Ovis aries: one gene and its partner. The protein of the gene in region 2 binds, or shares a complex with, the protein of the main gene of each other region. Links are inferred from orthologs where the notes say so. Each region holds a gene or a part of one and is shown on either strand. Other genes may lie near its edges.

Region 1 (5,090 bases), on a different chromosome or scaffold from region 2:
AAAGTGGAGCTGGGACATCAGTATTTTTGATTGATTTTCTAGATCCAAATATCACTAAAGAGGGAGAGGACTGCTGACTACATTTATCACTGCTTTAACTTAGAAAAGCTGCTGACTAGGGAGGCAGATTCTGGGTGTTCAACTTACAGGGCAATGTCCAAGGCTACTGAATTAGCTCAGCAATATCTGGAAACAGTAGTCATGGCCTCATTTTTGCTCCTCACCATATGTTCACTGGTACGGCCTTCCTCCTGCATTCTCATTCTTCTCAAATCAGATGACTCAAAGGACTACAGGATCACTATCTTCCACGGATTCTTCTACAGTGGCACTTAAAGAGAACCCATCACATGAACTCCCTTTGAATAAAATGATGGTGACTCCTTTATGCAGAAAATAAGCTTTTGGGTTATACTCCCTTAAGAATTAGAACAAGAAGCTATTCTTGAACTATCTGGAATTCTGTACTTGAAAAATACTTCATTATGATTAAGTACTCATGGATCTTAGTTGTCAGCAGGTGGTGGTAGGGAGAGGAGCTCCGATCACTTCTTCAGTCTGGGCTGGAAGGGTGAATCTTAGATACGGGCTATTAACATAGTCAGGAGAGGAGCATTTGGAAGTGCTTTGCTGCAGCCTTCACACCTCGTGTGATGATGCTGGGTAAAACGGGATCACGGCTCAGCTGCTAAAGAATCCACCTGCCATGTGGGAGACCTGGGTTTGATCCCTGGGTTGGGAAGATCCTCTGGAGAAGGGAAAGGCTACCCACTCCAGTCTGGCCTGGAGAATTCCATGGACTGTATACCATGGGGTTGCAAAGAGACACAACGGAGCGAGTTTCATTTTCAGCCTATTTGAACACTGAGGCATGTGCATCTGAGAATGCTCAATTAACAGTCAAGCTAAAAAAAGTCAACTTGTTGCTTTCATCTTTTTATTGACAGTGTAGCCAGAGCTGGAGAAAGGACTTACTGGATTCCATCAAATTAATAAATACAATAATTTAATTATAAAAGGAAACAGTCTCCTTGGAAGTTTTAGCAGAAGTTACTAGAGGCAAAGGACTCTTGGCATACAATCTGCTGGGATTTGGGAGGGTAGTAGAGAAAGAAAATTAGTCCATATATGGATGGTTGAGGGATTCTGCAGAAAGAAGAACAAATGTATTGATCGCTCTTTTGAGGTATGAACTCTGAAAAGGAAGACATTAAAATGAAAAGCAACTGAACTTGGTAACCAACCTTATGCAAAGGGAATAAACATTTGGCAACATCTTAATTTTAGCTGCCAAGCTGATACTGGTTGTCCTATAAACTGCAAAATGTGATCTTTCAGATTAGATGGAAGGCAGGCTTGGTGCCATAGGCAGCAAAGAATGCTGCTGTGCAGTGGGCTCCCTATATCAGCACCAACCACCAGCCCTTGACAGGAGAATGGGGTGAGTGGAAGGGCTACTGTTAGCATATGGGAAAGGGAATTATAAGTTGAGAAGAACAAAATGAATGGAGTTACAGGGAGAAAACTAATAGCAAGAACAAGCACTTAGATCTTAACTTTATTCTTCATGTCTAATGAACCAAAATAAGTGGGCAAGGACTTCTAAGTCATCCAAGTTAAAAGATAACTGCGGGCTGACTCGCCAACCACAAAGATCAATACAGGTTTATCAATGTTACTGAGGATTTTGTTTCTGCCTTATTATATATGTACTTTCACCTACTTGGTCAGTAGAGTAGAGATATTTAAGTATTCCAGTGACAGTTTCAACAATAGTTTCAGAGAGGAATCTTTTGACTATAGCCTTGGGTAGCACACACTATGTAAAGGGAGTCCCCCTGAAAGCAAAGAATGTAGGCAAACTGAATCCATTAAGAAAAGGAAAGAAAAAAGATAAAAGATTAAAAAAATAATAATTTGACAGTATTGAGGCAGGCACATTTTCTTCCTTTAGCTGAACTAGGGCATGAGGGCTTTAGGCTAATTGGTTCTAAGTGGTATCAGACAAGCTTTATAAAACATGAAGACGGCAAAGGTTCACTTAAGTTTCTCTTTTACTATGTTAGTTTGCTCAAAATCTCAAATGCTTGTGCTTGCAATAACTTCCTAAAAGCAGAAGTAGAAGTAGTGTTCCCTTTTATTACCTTAGAGCATTTGCCCCTTTGATACAAATGACTTTTACTGTGCTAACAGATGAGCTAAGTGGCACAAAACTGAGAGTGTACTTCCTGCAGCAAGGTCCCTATAAATCAAAATCAGCTTTACATAAAAATCTTATTTATAAAAAATACAATACCAAGTACAGTGAGAATGGAGCATGGAGCAGCAGTGCTCCCTGCCAGGGCCATGTGGAGTGGCTTTTGCTACAGTGCTTGCTTAATGGCACAAGTGAAAAGCTGAATAAGGCAAACACTTGAAGAGGCAGTTTTTTGTAAACTTCTTGGGTGGGAGGAACTATTCCTCTGTTGGGACAGATGATTGGGGATGGCTACGATCAAGTGTGACACTTGGCTCCACTTGATACATCACGTTACAGACTAAGACAGCGTCTGCTGGCTGAGACCGGTTCACTTGTTTTAGGGGAGAGGTTATCACTGTAGACTTCTGCCTTGACTGTGAAAATGTGCAGCCTCTAGCTGGTGCCTTCCTATGGAGGAAATCACCTCTAAAACTTTCCTAAGTGACAAGGTACAAATAAGCTAAGTCATTCAGAAGTTTCCTTAGCTTAAAGTTCCTTAAGAACCCTGCATCGATAACTAAGCAACTCTGTTAGCGGTATGTGGCTAGACATAAATGCTTTAACTAGAATATGTATTCCCACCCAATTGGTACCTAATAGTAATACATTGTGATGACGCCTGGAAAACAAATAAATCTTCAGGAATTCTGGCCTCTTCTCATGTCCTCACTTGGAACTTTCCAGCTTTTGTGACGTATTTGACTCCTTTAAATGGCTTATATTTCTCCCCATACATGTCCAAGCGGTTTACTTTTAAGCCTGTGTCAAAAAGAACACATAAGGAAAGGAACAAATTACAGTCCTGGTCACACCAACCAGTACAATATTTGCTTAAGAAACAGTTTACTATACAGTAAATCTGACATTAGCCAGTGTCCATTTCAAGATCTGGAAGCAATGTTCCTTCTAGCATTCACAGATTCAAGTACTAGGAGGGTATGATTTTAGTTCAGATTCCCATATGGACAAGCAATGTCTTTTAAGGATAATTCTACTTTCTTTGAGTATAAATGATTTCTTTCTTTGTGCCTGAATGAGGGTAGGGGTGAAGGGAAGCTATGTGAAATAAGGTGCTCTCCAAAATCACTCTCAAAAATCAAGGAGAGTGAGAGGCATACTGGAGTAGTTGCTCTTTGAAGAGACGGAATGTCAGTTACTCTTCGAAGCTCCTAGCAGCTGACCTCAGCAAAACTCAGTTAACCCTTACACACATCAAATTTCTCCTTACCTGAAATAGCAAGCTGTTGGATCTTGAACTGTATGTTGAGGCTTGGATTCTCTTCTGGCTTGGGAGCCCCAGACTGTAAATTTACCAGTCCTTTAAGACTGGGGAGCTTTTGTGGAGTGATTTTCCCCACATCCCACGTTAGTACCTTAGAAAGAAAAAAACAGAAAACATTCTGAACTATTTATTAAAGACAAATGTTCAAAGACAAGGTTCAAAGACCATAAACTTCTGTAGAAAATAAAGCACAGTGTCTTGGAATAAGAGACCTGGGATTCCCACTGAGTTTTACCACTAGTTAGTTCTGTGACTCTGAATGGGGAGTGAAAAAAGGAGTAGATGCATTTGTTGAGCATCTACTTTTGGATATAATACTGTGCTCAGCACTATTCTCACGCTGTCTCGGAAGTCTGTGATGTAAAACTTTGTCTAATTTTGACAAACAAAGAAACTAAAGCTGGAGTCAGATGACTTGCTGAAGGTCACATAGCTAGAGGAAAGGTTGGGATTTGACCCTAAGGCTATCTGGTATCAAACATCCTTTCCACTATGCCATCTTTACTGTTTCTCTCTGGGCTTAAGTTTAGTTTTCTGTAAAATGAGAAGATGGGCCTAAATCAGTGCTTTTAAACTTTTAGTGATGGAACCCTTTGTTCAAATGAAATACCTAGTGAGGGAGCTCAGTAACAGATGAGAAAATAAAGCTGTTATGGTTGAAGCTGGGGTGAAGGCTAGGGATCTGGAGCTCCTGCTTAATTTCTCAGCCCTGTGTGGTCTCTGGGGAGATTCTTTGACTTCTTAGGAATAGATTAGATGATCTTTAACATTCAATGATTTTATAGTTAAATAAAAAAAGACTTTTCATTTACTATGCAGCTCAATGACTCTATTGAGGAAAAGAATCATTCCTTTACCCAAGCAGGAAGCAGAGAGAAAAATCAGCTTTTACAGTTTCTCTGAACTCCCTCTGCTAGAGGCAAACATATAGAGGGTGAGAAGGCAACTTTCCTAGTCAGCATCCTCTGTAGAAGAGTATGAAATAATGCTTTTAAATTAAAAAGGAAGAGAAAGATCTTAATTTCTTAACAATTAATACACTGTAATATCTATTAACCATTAATAGATTATTATATGCACATAATGCTTTTCTCTTTTTAAAAAGTTTTTATATCTTCCTCATTGAAGAGTTAGTGAACCTCTGGATTATCAATGTATAAGAAAAGGCAGATTCTGAAGGAAGAAGGAATGAATCTCACTTTTCTGCTCATCAACTTAGCAGCAGATGCAAGATTCTCTCCTGTGGCAGAGCACAGCACAATCTGCATTCTAGGCTGTTAGAGCTTTAATTTCAACCAAGATATTAGACCCTTCCCTCTGTCCTCCCATGTCCCCAAATCACAAAATAAGGATTGCAGAAACACTTGCTCACTCTTGATTTTAGGTGACTGTACCTTGGTAACTGGATCAAAAGTATAGCTGCCTTGTGTTGGTGTCAGGTTCATATTCAACACAACTTTCGGCATGTGAACGGTCACCGTGATTGCTTCAATAGTTTTCCCCATATTCTGCTTTGGTCCAATTGTAATATCAAATCTACCACAAGAACTGTTCTCCTTAAAACTGATG
Region 2 (4,478 bases):
GCTCAATTTGATGAAATATTAAACTATAGAGAATTATTCAAAAGTTTTATCTCATAAAGATAGTTTTGTTGGAGGGAAAAAATTTAAATATCTAGGCTTGAAATATTTACAAATTTTAACATGAAAGCATTGAGAGTATCCTTTATTCAACAGAATTTTTTCTATGCTTATTGGACCATTCAAACTGTAAAGAGGGCACTTTCTCCATTAAAAATATTAAGTTCTATAGCAAAGAATAAGTTGCAAATGTCAGTACTTTCATAATTAGTGATCATAAAGTTCCATTTTGAAGATAATTCCATTTTGAAGACATAAAATTGTATTCTTTAGATAAATACCAGTGACTTGGTTTTAGAGATAGAGCTAAGAAATTGATTAAGGTATGTGAATAAAGAGGTATGTGAGTAAATTAATTATTCTGTTTATGTTTTTAATGTATCATGGGACCTGGATATGTTTTTATCTTTTAGAATTTTAATTTTGAAAATACACGTGCTATAATTATTTCATAACCCACCAATATAATAAAGCAAGTTTTATAGTCAATAAGTGCATATTATGGAAATTATATAATCTTAATAACTTAAAATTTTCTGTCTCACTTTAAATAGAGTCAGTTAATATTTCAAATAATTAACTTCCTAAAACTTAATTTCAGAGACTAGAAATGAAAGCGGGATGAATCACCCCACTGGCTTAAAAAAGTGCTGCAGTGAATAGGCTTTTTAATCTGATTTATTCTAGGTGCGTATTCTAAATCCCAGCATTCAGATATACTGTAGAGAGTTAGCTTCGTTATGAATTCTCACTACAGTTGAAGAAACTTAACAGTAGGATGTATTTTCCAGGTTATCTCAGCAAGTTGATTGCACAGTCCAGTGTACCTTGGATTGACCTGGGTTATTCACTTGGTGACTGTTTGGCTGATTGTCCTTAAAAAATCAATCATAGAAATTTTCTTATGTGTCGTTGAACCAACCTAGTCTAGTAATTAGTGAATAGCAGTTGTTGTTAACCAAATTTAGAATAGCTCTATTAATACTTTTCATCTGTATTTTTTGTAGTTCTACTTTAGTAAAACTAGGTTAATGGTTTTTAAATAGATTGTTGCTGAAAGAAGGTTGCTTTCTATCCAAATCAATTATCTTAATGAATTAATATTGTAAAAGAGTTTGCCACACCATTCTTGTATCTTGACTTGTTGGTTTAGAACTATCTTCAGCTCTGCCTGACTTGATGGATTTTATTGTCTTTAATCCATTTCTGATGTCTATAAAATGTTCTAAGGTAGATGTTTATTTTTTCCATGTATTATGAATCCTGTTTATGGTTAGAATTGTATACGTGTAACCTTCTAAATTAAAATTATGCTTTTTCAATAAAGTAATGAGTTGAAAATACAAACCTTATTTTGTTAACATTTCAATTTTGGTTTAATTATTATTAAAATTATCTCAATATATGTTAATGTAGTACAGTCAAAAATTGACTTAGGAAATCTTATTAGAGTGTAAAAGCTACTATAATAAGTTGTTCCCTAACATAAATAAATAAATGACCAATATTACTAGAGGCCATAAGCAATATGGGGGAAAAAATGGAAGGAGTCTTTTATCCTAGTTTTTAGAGGGCATCAGCAGCTTGCTTTTATGAAAAAGTAACAGCTAAATGCACTGCAAATAATTTGCAGTAATCCAGTTCAGTGATTCATGTGTCTGCTTTAATGGGTCATAATTCAGGGTAAAGTAACTGAGTGCAGACACTGCTTATGCCGGGGACAGTATCTCTTCATAAAGCACACCTCAGGAGAAGCAGTTTGCCAGCCCCCTAATGCTCTCTGATGTTTTGATGTCCTGCATATTTTTCCGATTAAGTTTTGAGTGCCATGTTTTTAGTTGTATTTCCACATTCATTATTCTCACGTAGACCCTTCAGCGGGTTTGCCATATATGATTATTTTTTTAATGATGCCTTTCTTTCCACTTCAGCAGTTTAATAATCTAGCACATGGCTGCTTCTCAGTGCTCAGCATTCACCTCCCCAATACTGAAGAGGACATGTGCTTTGGCTTCAGAATTCCATTTGCAGTGTTAGAAATGCATATTCCCTATGGAACAACATTTGTTTGACATAACCATTCATTTTTATTACCTCTTTAAATATGTTTATCCAGAGTTATCAATAATCATAAATAACTGTATTCTCATCTTGTTCTGTTTTTTCCAACAGACAAAATTGCTTACCCAGTACATATTAAATCTCGGCAAGTATGATCAAAACTACGACATCAGAGATCGTACAAGATTTATTAGGCAGCTTATTGTTCCGAATGAGAAGAGTGGAGCTTTAAGTAAATATGCCAAAAAAATATTTCTGGCGCAGAAACCCGCACCACTGCTTGAATCTCCTTTTAAAGGTATTATTATCAGAATATACCTACAGAATATTATATGTTATCTTAAAAATTATGATATTATATCCCACTTCTAACATGTTTAAAATTTATCTCTTAGAAAATATGTGATTAGTGTGTATAAATATATAAATACGAAAAGTGTGCTTTCTATTCATTCATCTCTTCTCCGAAACAAGCTTTATATTAGTTCAAGTTTATGTTTTTATAGGCCTTATTTACCTAAATAATTTCAGTCTTCTGGCGTTTATTCTTACCAAATGACTTGACTGAACAATAGATGAAAGCTGTGTTGTTTTTGCAGACATTGACTTCATTTCTGGTTTAAATAGATAGCTTTGTTTAATAAGGGATATATAATTCACCTTAATAGTGAGTTATTAAGTATTTTGTGTACACTAACATAAGCTTTTCCGGAAAGAATTATTTCATAGAAATATTCCTTTATATTTGTTTGCTTTTCAGAGATGGAAATTGACTTATTTTCCCCAGCTTTTTAAAAGGAGTAATTTATCAGTTTCACAAGTAGCCATTACAGTAGGAATCAAATGATTATATACTTTGGTTTTCATATTGTTTCTTATTTAATTGTTGTAAAGGGATAAAAAGCAGTTCAGTTTTGTAGTAAAACTATTAAAATTCTGAATGTGTTGGTGGCAAGACATGTATATGGATTGTTTAACTGTGCTGTCATTCTTAATATTCACAGTAAAGTAATTTTTAGAGAAGCTACATATCAGAGCAACACCTCTAAACACACTGACTGATTAGCTTTTTTATTGACCATTATCGGGGAGATTATTGTAATCTATGGACTGAAATCAGTTTTTTTGACCTGTGAAGAATTTCCTAGTTTATATTTATTCCTTGACATTTGAGGTAATATGCCAATTACCTTGAGCTCTGATTAGGATTGTTCTCTGTTATATGCAGCTCAGATTGTTTATTTTATATTTTCCTTTATTTTAATAGATAGGGATCATTTCCAGCTTGGCACTTTATCTCACACTCTCAACACCAAAGCAACTGGGTACCTGGAATTATCTAATTGGCCAGAGGTGGCGCCTGACCCATCAGTTCGAAATGTAGAAGTAATAGAGTTGGTAAGTTGACCTTTCTGAAATTAATTTTGTCAAGCAGTAGGAGATTCTAGGATAGCTGCTGTTTTGTATAAAAGCTTTTTTTGGGGGGTGGAAAACTTGTTCTGGTATTTCTAAATGTAATGTGTTAGATATATCTTGCTGCTATGGGAACTAAATATTGTAGTATTCCTATGTCATTGTACATGTACTGTTCCTTTTCTTCAAGGAAATAGAGAATTGAATTCTCTGCATCAGTGCCACCCACATTTGTGATACTGCATTTGTAGCTGTGCAGATTCAATTTCTAAGGTATTTAGTTTCATTGAGTTGAGCTTTTCCCACTTAGTTTAGAGACTCATAAGCTTCCTGTCAATATTTTCCAAATCATTTTTGCTATCTCTTCCAGAAACCATACAAAGTGTTCTTTTGGCTTTTCTGAGGAACCTTTTTCACATGAAGCCAAATATAAATAGGAAGCATTATGTACCAAAAATATCCTTGAACAAGGTCACAATTAATGAATAATATATGGCTTCACATTAAAAAAAAAGGTCTCTGTATAAATACTCTTTTCCTAGGTCTTTATAACATGCTGGCCACTAAAATAAGAGAATTGATGTTCTTTCCTAGTATTATCTCTTTCTTTCTTATAAACAAGAAAAATAAGGAGAGGGGTCTTCTGATTGTCTTTAGAGATTGATTATGTGAAATGTATCTGATATTTTTTTAAATAGAATTAATAAAAAGAACAATTATGTATTACATCCTGGGTGCCTTTCCAGTACAGCACATATGCTGAACTAGGATTCAGGTAACTAGTCTTTATCTATAATTCCTATGAGAAAGTCAGTTAATCTTCTTGCCTACTGACTTTTCCCTTTACAATGGGGAAAAAACTGTCTTCCTTTAAATAGAAGAATTCCGTACCCACACTTTGCAGCTTGTAGCGTCTTAGTTCCCTGATCAGATATTAAACGTGGGCC

Evidence for each region. Proteins that work in one complex are often made in the same cells at the same time.
Region 1: the proteins of AP3B1 (region 2) and AP3M1 are in contact, whole or in part, in a cryo-EM structure (PDB 9C5A), measured with the Homo sapiens proteins. The link is inferred for Ovis aries from reciprocal best matches to the Homo sapiens genes AP3B1 and AP3M1. Residues at the interface, in NP_003655.3 of Homo sapiens: Leu60, Lys64, Val67, Gly68, Ile70, Ala71, Lys72, Gly73, Ile92, Glu93, Lys96, Leu97, Val100, Arg104, Glu107, Asn128, Gln129, Leu130, Arg137, Arg143, Ser163, Pro164, Tyr165, Lys168, Asn169, His172, Gln175, Lys176, Leu202, Ser206; in NP_001307192.1 of Homo sapiens: Met1, Phe15, Leu16, Glu17, Trp20, Lys21, Ser22, Val23, Gln26, Val42, Glu43, Asn44, Val45, Pro46, Pro47, Val48, Ser50, Tyr55, Ser58, Ile59, Tyr60, Gln71, Thr72, Glu73, Val74, Pro75, Pro76, Leu77, Phe78, Ile80.

What each region holds. Positions count from the first base shown.
Region 1 is NC_056078.1:29,207,625-29,212,714, forward strand, and holds the end of AP3M1 (AP-3 complex subunit mu-1), read right to left. Parts: coding exon 4,916-5,090; intron 3,613-4,915; coding exon 3,468-3,612; intron 2,999-3,467; coding exon 2,898-2,998; 3' UTR 924-2,897; downstream 1-923. UniProt on the Homo sapiens protein: Part of the AP-3 complex, an adaptor-related complex which is not clathrin-associated. The complex is associated with the Golgi region as well as more peripheral structures.
Region 2 is NC_056060.1:9,250,011-9,254,488, reverse strand, and holds part of AP3B1 (AP-3 complex subunit beta-1), read left to right. Parts: intron 1-2,229; coding exon 2,230-2,416; intron 2,417-3,385; coding exon 3,386-3,516; intron 3,517-4,478. UniProt on the Homo sapiens protein: Subunit of non-clathrin- and clathrin-associated adaptor protein complex 3 (AP-3) that plays a role in protein sorting in the late-Golgi/trans-Golgi network (TGN) and/or endosomes.